Oryctolagus cuniculus: one gene and its partners. The protein of the gene in region 1 purifies or fractionates together with the protein of each later gene. This does not show direct contact. Links are inferred from orthologs where the notes say so. Each region holds a gene or a part of one and is shown in the gene's direction. Other genes may lie near its edges.

Region 1 (4,577 bases):
CAGATGGACGACTCCAAACCCTGGACGATTTAAAAGAAACACAACTGTCTTTTCAGGTAAAACTTAGTCCAAACTCAAGAAATATCACCTGAAAGAGTCACCACCACTATAGCCGGTATAGGCCAACTCCTCTCTACAGGTTCCAGGTTTCACAAGTTCCTCCTGATGTCAAGCTGGAGATCAATCAAAAACAATTAAAGGGCTGTACCACTGGCATTACCGAGAATGAAAAGAATGTGGGTTACTGAGCTTGGTCAAAAAGACACCAGGAAAGAAGACATCAGCAAGTCATAAAACAAGTAATTACATCAGAGTTTGAAAGCTAGCTGTTCTTCATAGACCAAGAAATGGATTGCACCCACATAAAGGAGGCAAAACACTGGAGCCGACTAGGAAGGATGTTTGCAAACCTATTATTACACTTACCTACCTCATAGAGTTGTTCTGGGAATTAGATTAAAAAATGGGTCAAGGGCCCGACTATCGGGAAGTGCCTGGCTCACATCATGGATCAAGTGGTGGTCACCCTTTTACTAAACGTCCTTAAAATGCTGTCTGGGGGCCACCTAGGGAAACGCAGTATGATCAAATAATGCTCAAACTCTTCTCCTCCCAAGAAAACACCTGTAATTACAGCCTCCACGTCATTCTACTGAAACATTTAATTGAATACTTCGCCCACTGCCTTAATCTGCCTACTAAGTGGTGATCTGGGAAAGACCACATTTTGTCCAAAATACTGTAGCGTTTAATTAGTACTCAAATGGCACTTTAAGTTATCCAGTTTTTTTTTTTTTTTTTTTGGTGTGTGTGGGGGGGCGTGGGATGGTGTTCAGATGTAGCCATCTTACTTTCCGAACGCTAGCTGGGACATCAGTTCTTTTAAGTACCGATACAGGGGGAGAACGACTAGGCCAGGCCAAGAAGAGACTGCCTCAGCTGCCTAGGCTAAAGATAACCATACCGAAGGTGGCGGAACAAGGAACTAGCTACCAAGGCAAGTTTCATGCGTTAAGCTGCCGCGGGAAGCAGAGACCTAACTCTCGCAAGAAACTTCATAAGAAAAGCCACCCAGGAAAGCCGACGCGAGGCTGCTACCACAAAGAGAACAAGCTACTGGAGGAGAGCTCCGAACCCACCGGCGACAGCCTCGTACCTGCGTTTCCCGCTCCCCTCCTCGGCGCCTCGTGATGACCTCACCCGCGAGCGCCCAATCCCATCAAGCGTAGGGCGCGAGGCGCCTCAGCCAAACAGTCACATCCGGGGCCGAGAGGAACCGCGAGCGAGCTGGGCGTGCGCCCTTGCTTCGTGCCCTCAACCCGCATGGCGGAGCCACGGGCGCGCCGCGGGGAGGCCAGGCGAATCGGGCGGTTCCGGCGCCCGGGCTGAGCCGCGGGGGAGGGGCGGGGGACGCCCGTGCAGCCGGTGCGTCTGCCCTCAGTGAGGCGGGGCGCGCGGCGGACGCCCCCGGGCAGGGGCGGGAGCGGTGGTGGCGCCGGCGGTTGGCACTGAAAGGGGCGGTGAGCGAGCTGCTCCGGTGTCAAGGCGAGGCTCGGCCTCTCGCGCAGAGACGGGGGGTAGCGGCGGCGGCGGCGGCCTTCGGGCCGGCTGGTGAGGCGATGGCGGCTCCAGCCCCGGGGGCTGGGGCAGCCTCGGGCGGTGCTGGCTGCAGTGGCGGCGGCGGCGGCGGCGCGGGTGCGAGCTCGGGCTCCGGGTCCGCGGGGGCCGGGGGCCGGCTGCCCAGCCGGGTGCTGGAGTTGGTGTTCTCGTACCTGGAGCTGTCCGAGCTGCGGAGCTGCGCCCTGGTGTGCAAGCACTGGTACCGCTGCCTGCACGGCGACGAGAACAGCGAGGTGTGGCGGAGCCTGTGCGCCCGCAGCCTGGCAGAGGAGGCTCTGCGCACGGACATCCTCTGCAACCTGCCCAGCTACAAGGCCAAGGTGAGGGAACCCCGGGCCACGCCGCTGCCCCTGGCGCGCTCCTTGGCGCCGCTCGCGGTGCTTGCCGCGAAGCTTCTGAGTCAGACGGCTCGCCTCGCCATCCCGCCTTTCCACGCTCGCGTCGGTACCTTCCTCACCCTCCCGCCCCCGCAAAGATCGTCTTTTCTCTGGAATGAAGTTCTTCTCTTTAACCCGCCCCACTTCCGCGATGACTTTTTCAAAGGCGGCATGGTTCCCCATCCCTGATTTCCATCACTCCTTCCACTTTGGACTGACTTTGTTCCTACAGACAGACCACCGCTATTGTTGTGCCTTTCCCTACTCACCCTGTTTCCCCTCTGGCCTCCAGATACTTCTATTATACTAAGTCGTCTCGGTTGCTTTAACCTCGCCTTGATTTCTGAGACCTTTCCAAGCTCTGATCCCTCACCATTTTTTCCTGTATTTTTGCCCAAGTTCTCTTTCGTCCCCTCCACTGTTATTTCAGGCTTATGAGTGAGTGTGCCTGCTAACTTTGAAGATACAGGCACAGCCAGAACCTCCTGCGGCACCACTTAACCGGCGTGGTACTGCCTTGTGGCTGCTCTTAATGGCTGTTGGTTGCCAACTTTTTCATAGTCCCACCTTGGTGTGTCGGGGCTGTGTCCATGTGTCGTCTAGTGTGCTGATTCCAGTTTCACTACTGCTTTTTTTTTCTCTTAGATTCTTGGGTATATTCCTGACACCTTCATATACCAAATAAAAATGACAGGTTATGGTAGGAGGAGAAGATGCTTCAGCCCATAAAAATAAAAAGCCTTGGGCTTGCGACTGGGTGACAGTCATTCAGCACAGCAGTGTGTGTGTGTATGCATATGCATGCATATATGTCAGAGGACGCCTGACCTGAAGTGTGGGAGACTGCTGGGGCAGTATCGAAGTAAGAAAGGCTTTTTTATGTGAAGTACAAAATGTATTCTTCTGTGAGATGGCCTTTAGTTAATAAGATAAGGAACTTGGCTGTTAAATATGTAAACTATCAAGCTGTTTTTTTAGCAAATAAAGTAACATTTTACTAGGACAGTATGTGTATACTAGGTGAAATTTATGTAGGAGAGTGCAGAAAATTGCAGTTTTGTCCTATTTGCCTGGTCAATATGAACATTTCTCAGGTTTTATTTAGCTTTTATTTTTCCATAAAGTCTGTTGGTTTGGGTTTTAAATTACAACTTTTTGGCAATTAATTTGTGACATGTTACATATGTTGGCTTAAGTCAAGATTCATATAGTATGTAATGGATAATGTGTCCATGTGAGTTAAGCTTCAATAGAAGCAAAATGAGATATAGCAAAGTGTTTCTTTTGGCCCTTGTCCCCCTGCTACCTAGTTGCCTGCTTGGAAGAAGTCTAAAGCTGTAATTTCTTCTGTATCCTTCCTGCAGGATTGTGGGTTTTCTAAGTCTTTAATGCTTTGCTTTTCTGCAGTGTGCACTGGAGGTGCTGTAGGCTTATACTAATCTCATGTTCACTTAGATGTTGCAGGACTTTCCTTGAATAACTTGAAGATACGAGATTAATTTCAAAAAGAGTCAGGCTAATAGGGAAATCCCCAGGCTAATAGAAGAGAAAAAAATATATAAAAGTAACTGTATTGCATGGTAGAAATTGCTCCATTGTATCAATGATAGAAAAAACATATAGGAAGGGCTGGTGCTGTGGCGCAGTAGGTTAATCCTCTACCTATGGCATCGGTATCCTATATGGGTGCCATTCGTAGTCCCGGCTGCCCCTCTTCTGATCCAGCTCTCTGCTGTGGCCTGGGAAAGCAGAAGATGGCATGGGTGCTTGGGCACCTGCACCTGCGTAGGAGACCTGGAAAAAGCACCTGGCTCCTGGCTTCGATTCAGCCCAGTTCCAGCCGTAGTGGCCATTTGGGGAGTGAACCAATGGAAGGAAGACCTCTCTCTCTGTCTCTCCCTTTCACTGTCTGTAACTCTACCTGTTAAATTAAAAAAAAATCATGCTAGAATAGTTTCGTGACAGGAGAAATTTGCAATTTGGAGGATTGGAGAAGATTTGAGGATGAATTGTATTTGAGCTGAATTTTGAGGATGATCTGAAAGTTGTACAAAGAGAGCAGAAACAGAACAACAGGAAGGCAAAGAGTCTGTACAATATATATTTTTATTTAAAAATATGAGTGCTTGGGCTGGCGCTGTGGCACAGTGGGTTAAAGCCCTGGCCTGCAGTTCCGGCATCCCATATGGGCACCGATTCAAGTCCCGGCTGTTCCACTTCAGATCCAGCTCTTTGCTATGATCTGGGAGGGCAGTGGAGGATGGCCCAGGTCCTTGGACCCCTGCACTGTGTGGGAGACCCAATGGAAGCTGCTGGCTCCTGTCTTCAGATCAGCTTGGCTCTGGCCGTTGCGGTCATCTGGGGAGTGAACCAGCAGATGGAAGACACCTCTTTCTCTCACTGGCTCTACCTCTCTCTGTAACTCTCAAATAGATAAGAGTCTGGAAAAAAAAAAAATAAATAAGTGCCAGGCACCATGCTCAGTTTTGCACTTAAGGTTGCCTTGCCTTTTGGAGCTTGCAATCTAGTGTGGGAATGGCTGTTAACCAAATGATCACTCAAGCTGTGAAACTGCATGGA
Region 2 (4,540 bases), on another chromosome or scaffold:
CTCCCTGCGAATGTGCCTGGGAGAACATCGGAAGATGGCCCAGGTGCCTGGGCCCCTGACACCCATGTGGAAGATGCAGTTGGGGTTCCTGGCTCTTGGTTTAGGCCTGGCTCAACCCTGGCTATTGTGACCATTTGGGGAGTGAACCAGTGGATGGAAAGTCTCTCTCTCTCTTTGTATGTGTGTGTTTCTCCTCTTTGTAACTCTGCCTTTCAAATAAAAAATAAATAAATCTTTTAAAAATAAAAAATAAAAAGCTCTAAGTGTTAGCCATCTATTATTTAAACAATAGCTAAACAATACTACTGCCAGCACCCTTCCTCTGCAAAGCAAGAATTAATTAACTTCTGCACCCACTGTATTTATTAAACAATAAGCAGGACTTTTTGTCATTTTTAAAGAGAAGACATTCAAAGAACAGGCACAGAGATGAGAACTAGTGCGTAATTGAATAGTTGAAGGATGTAGTACTGGGCTTATAAGACTTAGAAATGACTGTAAATTAGGGTTTGGAGTCAAAAGGATAAAACTTAACAGGAATCAGGGTGCACTGGTGCATTTATTTCCAGAGCATGCAATGAGGTTAGCAGATTAGCTCCGAACAGAGGATTCAGCCCATGTCACTTTTTAGACATAACAAAGGTGCGATCTTTGGTAGATCTGACATAATCAGATGTTATACAATCTTAGTCACAATCATAGTTTCAGGTTATATTTAAGACATCTTTAATAACAGGAGTCTTGGCCGAAAAAGATAAGCTGTTAAGGGACCACCGTCAAGAGAACATAGTGTACCCTTAGTGTGCCTGAGGAGTCAACACAACACACAAGAAAACATTCTTGCATCAAGATTCAGCTGTGATGTCCTGCGCATGAATGACTGATTTGTGAATACTAGCCTACCGACTAATTCTGTTTTTTTTTTTTTCTTTCCTAAAAAGATTTATTTATTTGAAAGAATTACAGAGAAAAAGGAGAAGAGAAAGAGGAGGAGAGACAGAAAGACCTTCCACTCGCTGGTTCACTCCCCATATGGCCGCAATGGCGAGAAGCCAGGAGCTTCTTCCGGGTCTCACCTGGTGCAGAGGCCCAAGCACTTGGGCCGTCCTCTGGTACTTTCCCAGGCGCATTAGCGGGGAGCTGGATCAGAAATGGAGCAGCCAGGACTCGAACCTGCGTCCCTATGGATGGAGTGCAGGCGCTGCAGGCCGTCCCCAATTCTGAATTAACCAGTCCTGCTCACAATAAACCTTGGCGCTGGCAGCACAGAGCTGGGGGGCAGGTGGCAGTGCTGCGCGCTCCGGCGCGGGGCTCCAGGCCTCTCTCTCAGGTTCTAAGTCTCCCACCTGGAGGGAACCCATTACCTGAAACGCCGGTAGCAGGCAGCCTTGCCCAACACTGTCCTCACTCTTCCTTAAGCTGCTAGGAAATCCTGGAGAAGTGGATTTCTTTCACAAACCGCACCACCCAGTCGCCCCACACCCAAAGCCCTGGGGGCGGAGGGAGTGGTGGCTGAGGAGGGTGGGGGGGAGGCCGAGTTACTGAGCATGTGCGAAGCGTGGCGCATGCTCAGTGCGGCCGGCAGCTTCCCACTGCGGGTAGCCCCGGCGGTGGCAGCGGTGGTGGCGGCGGCAGCGGCGGCACCGCCTCCTCCTCACACTCCCCGGGTGGCGGGGTTAGATGAGCGGCCCCAGTAGCGGCGAGGGCGGCGCGGGGGGGAGGAGGAGGAGAAGGAGAAGGAGGAGAAGGTCGCTGTCTTTGTAGTCTCCCCGCTGTGGGAGCCAGAGGCCGCCACCGGAGCCGACGTCGTTGGAAAAGGGCTGTGTGTGTGCGCGCGCGTGTCTGCCCGCCCGGCCCGCGGGGACGAGGCGGCGGCGGCGGCGAAGATGATGATGTGCGCAGCGACTGCTTCCCCCGCCGCCGCCTCCTCGGGGCCCGGAGGGGACGGATTCTTCGCAGCCGCCACCTTCTCTTCCTCCCCGGCACCGGGAGCGCTGTTCATGCCGGTTCCCGATGGCTCCGTGGCTGCCGCGGGGCTGGGGCTGGGGCTGCCCGCCGCGGACACCCGGGGTCAGTACCAGCTGCTGCTGTCAGGTCGCGCCCTGGCCGACCGCTACCGGAGGATTTACACCGCCGCGCTCAGTGACAGGGACCAGGGGGGCAGCAGCTCCGGACACCCGGCCTCCAGGTGAGTCTCCAAGGGTGCCGTCCTTGCGCCGCGCGCCTCGTGTGCGCCTGTATGTGTGTGTGTGTGTGTGTGTTCACGTCTGCGTTTCTCGAGCTTTCATTGATGCGAGGCCCCAGAAACGTTTCCCAGGATCTCGGGAGGGTGCGGTGGCTGCAGTTTCTGCTCTCGAGTGTGTGTCTGCCCATGTGGGGGGTTATTGAGGGCGGCAGTCGCGTGTGATACTGGACACGATGATGGTGCTGGGTCGGTCCTGACACGTGTGTGTATTGTTGAGGAAGGAGGAGGCATGGTCGAGGACACTAGGGTAATACCCGAAGAGAAGTGGTGAAGGAAGTGGCGTTCGCAGTGTCTCTGCCGCAATGTTATTTGCACGCCGCACCCCCCCCCCCCGCATGCCATTGCTCCCTCCCTTTTCTAGCCAGACCTCCGCCCCCCCTTTAAAGATATCTGCCATTCATTAAGGAGGACACTGATATAGATGAAGAAGAACGTCTTTTTTGCAGAATGAATTCGTGATAATCAGGCAGGAGGCTAGGCACGAGGTTTCCTTTTCAAAGATTTATGAATAAGAGATGCAAATGGAGATTTCTGTGGGTGCGAAGGGAGCCTGACGGAGGGTTTTAGATCTGCTCTCTGGGCCTTTGGGTCTTCTGGAAATGTGGTCGCAGCTGCTCCTGTGTTCTGCTGTCCCATCGGCCATTTCTCTTCATCTTCTGTTCTGTTTCCTCTATTACTTGCAGGCTTCAGAGGGCAGGGGATTTTGTAGGGAAACAGGGAGCACCGGAGAACTTCAAAATATGACGGCTGGTGTAGTGTTCAGCTGCCACCGGCTCGAAATTTTGAGAAGCTCCTGGATCTCTTCCATTTGGGCTGGCTGCACCTTCAGTTTCCTTGATGTGGATGTTAAATCACTTTCGTTTTCTTTTTCTCAAAACGTGGGTGCCTTTTTTGCTGAGGGCTCTGCTATTGTTTTCTTCTCCTTGCCTTAACATGCCACAGACCCTGAGGGATGGTGACTGACTTGCTTCACCAGCTTTGATGGTGGTTCTGGGGAGTTGGCTTCAGCCCTTCTCACGGAGCTTCTTGCACTGCGTGAGGAGAGCATAGTAGAATTTTGTCGAATGAGTTGAAGGGTTTACTGTGTTTATTGAATGTGCAGGTTATTAGGCAGTAACCAGGTGTCCTGTTCTTCTGTTATGCAAGGGGCTAGGCTGTAAATCGGATATTCGTAGTCTGTCACTATGTCTTGTGACTTATTCACTGAGGAGAGTTGTAAAGATGGAGGTTTGTTCACACTTTTTCTGGGTAAACCAGTCTTGGCAGTTCTGTGATTGTCTACTGGATTAGGCATGTGAGTGGCTCTGTCATATGGACAGAAACGTATATAAACAACGCCCTTTGCTCTTTAACATGAAGGCCCTGTGGCACAAGTTTGTTTCATGCTAGTGTTTTTGAAAATAGCACAGAGCCACATTATACAGCTTTTTCCTGATAATTGGGTGTGATTTTGAGCTATGAGTCTCTGAATTATGGCTCTGTAGCTGTATTTGTGCAGGCCTCCTCAGGGACTTTAAATTTCTTTTGTGTGTGGTTCCCAGACTTATGCAATAATTTGTGACTACTTATTCCTTTTTTAACTTTCAACTACTATACTTGTATAATAATACGATTTTATATCTGTAGAACTGTATTCACACTTTTAAGCAGAACTAATGTACATTAATCATATACCCAAAACTTATGAATGATTTTAGTCTTTGGTCCATTTTGTACAAACTGTCAATGACAACGTATAAAGAAGTAGTTCAAGTTTTTCCAGAAATACCCAAGGAAACCAGCCTTATGTTGCATGATTTTGCTTGCTGCTGCTTGTTCATAACATTGTTTATTACAGTTCATTTTGTTTTCTAATATTTAGCCTGCAGATCCTCATTTTTGAGGATTTGATTAAGAGTGCAGTCACGTATCTTGTTAAAAATGATGGGGAAAGTACATCTGGGATTTACGATGTGAATGTTTAAGGGTGCTGGTGGACAACATTAGAGAAGTTGAGATCATTCAGACAGAATGGAGCAAGAATAGAGAATGAAACTGGTGAGCATCATGTTTTAAAAATGTGAGAGAAAAGCAACAATGAAGGAAAATGAAACAAGAGGTCAGAAAATTAAGAAGAGAAGAAAGTGAGAAGAGTTTTCAGGTCACTGAGAACTTCTGAGGAAGTGGTCATAGAAGAGGAATGTGATGAAGAGTGAATGGAAAGGGGTTAGGGTCACTTGGGGGGCTTCAGATTTGAAGAAAGAGTATCAAGTATGGGAGGGTAGGTGGGTTACACAAATGTGGGAGTGTAATTAC
Region 3 (4,066 bases), on another chromosome or scaffold:
GTCTTTTTACAAAGTGGTGACAAAGCCATAACAAAATCTGTCATGTAACCATCTGGAAGTGGTGCCGGGTGCTTCACGTTTTGTGCAGGGTCACCGCCATGCACCTCTAGAGCTTCTTCCTCTTGCCTAGCTGAGCCTCCATACTTGCTGTGGGCAGCTCTTCCCCCTCCTCCCCCGAGCCCCCAGCAGCCACCCTTGTGCTTTTTGTCCCCCTACGTTTTACTGCTCCGGGGATCTCAGGTGGGTGAAATCATACAGCATTGTCTCTTTGTGACTGGCTTCCTTAACTTAGCATGTCTTCAGGGTCCATCTGTGTCATAACGTGGGTCAGAATTTCCTTCTTTTTTAAGGCTGTGTGATACCCTGCTGTATGTAAAAACCATATTTTGTTGACCCATTCACCTGCCAGTGGACACTGGATTATTTCCCCCTTTTGACAGTTATTAATGATACGGCTGTGAACGAACATGAATGTACAGCTGTATATCTGTTGGGGTCTCTCATTTCTAGAGAGGTTAGGGTATATATCCAGAAGTGGAACTGCGAGGTCATACATTACTTCTGTGCTAAAGTGTTTTGAGGAGCCACTCTGCTGTTTTCCATGGCTTCACCACTTTGCGTTACAAGAGTACACAAGCACTTCAATTTCTTCATATCCTCATCAACATTTCCTGCAGTCATTTTGAGAAAGAAATGAAATACTGAATGTAAAAATATGCCATATATTAATTTTACATGCCGTAATAACAGTATTCAGTATTGGACAATGTCCTGCATTTCAGTGGTTTTGAGCATTGAGGAAAATGAGATACATTTGAAAATGTGTGGTGTTTATTATTGGTGAAGGCAGTTATACTCCTGAACTCTTTAACACTTTAGGAATTGATGAACCATTGCACATCAAGAGAAGAAAAGTAATAAAACCAGGTTTCATACACAGTCCATGGAAAAGTGCATACATCAGACAGCACAGAATCGACACCAACTGGAGGCGAGGAGAGCTCAAGTCTCCTAAGGTAACGGAACTCTCGCGTGCCGTAACAGGAGCCATGACCAGCCTGAGAGCCTGGTGTGCTCTCGTGTTGCGCTTCTTGACATCTATCTTCTGTAGAAAGAAAACAATGAATTTAAAAATAACTGAAAGTGTAACCGACAGTATTCCTGTATTGCTAATATCTCTCGTCTGGCAACCAACTGTACCTGAATAAAAAATGAGATGAATTGAATGTCTGTCTTATGTAAATGAAAGTCTCTGAATATTCCATTGGATTTTATTGCATCATATATTTGCCACTAAAGATGTGCTGCCTCCTTTGACCTCATAATCCAAACTTGATTTCTTTAAGGAGAATCTGTGTTTCGGTTTTTGATCATTCATATGTGTTTTTATTTTTATAAACAGAAATGTAATTCTGGTTTTTCTGTCTTACAACATTGGAAATATATGAAATGTAGAAATGCTTGAAACTCTTAGCTATCACGTTTTTACCACTGGGAAGAAACAATCTGGGGAGACACCGTCATGCTAATAGTATATACCGTGAATTGAAAAGCTATTTTCATTCCCGTCTTTGTAGTTAGTACATGATGTGTGTCAAAATTGCAGAAATTAGATGCATATTCTCTTGGTTTAAGCAAAGTAGATGATTATAAAATACATTTGGGTTTGAACCATCTGTAGGAGGTCTTGATAAATAAAAGTTAAATTTTAATGGTCAGTGTTTCAAGTATAAATAATGCAATATGGAAATAATACAACGTTTAATACTTGATTCATCAGCCAGAAAGGGTGATGCTTCTTACTTCATATAAATTTTAATTCTAGAAGTAGACTACAGATTATTGTTCCTATTTTCCGTGCTACTGGTATTTGAGAGTTTGACCTACCGGCACATTTTTAATGCGGACATTTCTCTTGCAGGTGCTGAAAGGACACGATGATCACGTGATCACGTGCTTACAGTTCTGCGGTAACCGAATAGTTAGTGGTTCTGATGACAACACGTTGAAAGTGTGGTCCGCGGTCACCGGCAAAGTAAGTTCACTTCTTTCTACACGTCCCAGAGTCACCGTTTTGTGTATTATGACTTTTGTAAGGATCCACTAATCAAAGGAAAGCAGCGATTCCTTTTTGATTCTTGCTTATTTTGATAGCAAGTATCAGGGGTTCTAACTTAGCCCCCCACCCCCCACACTGAGGAAAGTCACATGGGCACCGCTGTGCTTCTCACCACAGGGAGGTCGCTGGCACCGTCACCCTGTAAGCTGTTAGCCTGTCTTTGTGACCCAGCTGTTTTGAAGTGTTGCAGATGTGGTCTTTTTCTTGGCTCTGTTTTTCCCTCCTTGATTAACACTCTTAAGTTATACATCATTACTTTTAATGTTTTGCAAAAAAGTCTGATTGAGGGTTGTTTATTTTTTTCTTCTTTCTTTAATAACTGCTTCATTGATAAGCTACCTGTAGCTCCTCAGTTAAGCAAATCGTGTCAATTCAGACCTTCCTCTGACTGCTGTGAGCTGGGAGGTCAGCAAAGTAGGTATCCAAATACTAGTTTGAAGATAAAAGCTTTCCAGCACTGAGCCAGAGCGCATACAACATTCTACGCTGATGGCCGGCGCCGTGGCTCACTAGGCTAATCCTCCGCCTTGCGGCGCCGGCACCCCGGGTTCTAGTCCCGGTCAGGGTGCTGGATTCTGTCCCTGTTGCCCCTCTTCCTGGCCAGCTCTCTGCTGTGGCCAGGGAGTGCAGTGGAGGATGGCCCAAGTGCTTGGGCCTGCACCCCGTGGGAGACCAGGAGAAGCACCTGGCTCCTGCCATCGGATCAGTGCGGCGCGCCGGCATTGGAGGGTGAACCAACGGCAAAGGAAGATTTTTCTCTCTCTCTCTCTCTCTCACTGTCCACTCTGCCTGTCCAAAAAAAAAAAAAATTCTACTCTGGTGACTCCAGTGAATATTTATTTTTATTTTTCCACTGGAGAATGTTATCATGAATTAAGTAACTGCCACCTTAAAAATAATAGACGAGAGACAGAATAAAAATCTTATGTCTTTACCATGTTACTTCTTGGGCAAGAGTCTTAGAAATCTTCCAAGTCAGATGCTTAAATGTTGAAAAAGAAGCTTCATATTTCCATGGTGTAATATTAGTTTTGGATTTATTTCAGGGTTTTAATGTATGTCTTTACTTGTCTAGAAGTAGCTTGGCTGGCTCCTAACTACTGCCTTGGGGCAAATTCAGATGAAATGTGGTATGTAGGCACACCCAACACTGTTGGCATTCTTTCATTAAATCTATTACATACGTGGAAGAAACCGAGTTGCAGTTTTAGTGTTATTTCCTCAGAGGCCAGGCTGGAGCTATCATACTTCACTTTCACATCATGTGTTTGCTTTCTCTCCTATCGCAAGTTGTATAACATGTTCGTTGTCTACATATTTGTTCTTCATCTGTGCGTGTGTATGTGTGTGTAAGTACGTAATGCTACTGAATACACAAAGCAGTGAATAGTGATGGCACCTTCTTAAGTTGAGATGCAAAAAGTATTTTCTGATGGACCAAATTGAAGAAGTAATTTCACAGCAAATTTTAATGAGCTATTACACTGTTATTTAAATCACTTTCCTTTCTACCCAAAAGTAATCATCTTAAGTATTTTTCCAGTGCCTGAGGACATTAGTGGGACATACAGGTGGAGTATGGTCATCCCAGATGAGAGACAACATCATCATTAGTGGATCTACAGACAGGACCCTCAAAGTATGGAACGCAGAGACTGGAGAATGTATACACACCTTATATGGGCACACTTCCACTGTGCGCTGTATGCATCTTCATGAGAAACGGTAAGGGAAAATGGTGTCATCATAGCTGGGGCTTCGTCCTCTGTTACTTGGGAAGTGGTGGCCTTTCTGTGCAGCTACAAAGATATTGAGAATGTACTCTTGAATTAGGCTTCCCTCATTAAGCCTCAGATGTGTCTGTATTAGGAAAGCCATGGTAGGCTGGCTTAAAATCCAAAGATTGCCTTTAGGCCTCCTTTCTCACGTGGTAGTGTCTTAGACTTC

Evidence for each region.
Region 2: the proteins of FBXO45 (region 1) and MYCBP2 purify together in Homo sapiens (affinity purification with western blotting; 7 studies listed by BioGRID and IntAct, with this or other methods). This does not show direct contact. The link is inferred for Oryctolagus cuniculus from reciprocal best matches to the Homo sapiens genes FBXO45 and MYCBP2.
Region 3: the proteins of FBXO45 (region 1) and FBXW7 purify together in Homo sapiens (affinity purification with mass spectrometry; 4 studies listed by BioGRID and IntAct, counting the BioPlex papers as one, with this or other methods). This does not show direct contact. The link is inferred for Oryctolagus cuniculus from reciprocal best matches to the Homo sapiens genes FBXO45 and FBXW7.

Annotation. Positions count from the first base shown.
Region 1 is NC_091435.1:83,075,158-83,079,734, forward strand, and holds the start of FBXO45 (F-box/SPRY domain-containing protein 1), read left to right. Parts: upstream 1-1,324; 5' UTR 1,325-1,619; coding exon 1,620-1,940; intron 1,941-4,577. UniProt on the Homo sapiens protein: Component of E3 ubiquitin ligase complex consisting of FBXO45, MYCBP2 and SKP1. Functions in substrate recognition but also plays an important role in assembly of the complex.
Region 2 is NC_091440.1:35,120,448-35,124,987, forward strand, and holds the start of MYCBP2 (E3 ubiquitin-protein ligase MYCBP2), read left to right. Parts: upstream 1-1,535; 5' UTR 1,536-1,886; coding exon 1,887-2,188; intron 2,189-4,540. UniProt on the Homo sapiens protein: Atypical E3 ubiquitin-protein ligase which specifically mediates ubiquitination of threonine and serine residues on target proteins, instead of ubiquitinating lysine residues.
Region 3 is NC_091439.1:12,202,483-12,206,548, forward strand, and holds part of FBXW7 (F-box/WD repeat-containing protein 7), read left to right. Parts: intron 1-879; coding exon 880-1,016; intron 1,017-1,921; coding exon 1,922-2,035; intron 2,036-3,662; coding exon 3,663-3,844; intron 3,845-4,066. UniProt on the Homo sapiens protein: Substrate recognition component of a SCF (SKP1-CUL1-F-box protein) E3 ubiquitin-protein ligase complex which mediates the ubiquitination and subsequent proteasomal degradation of target proteins.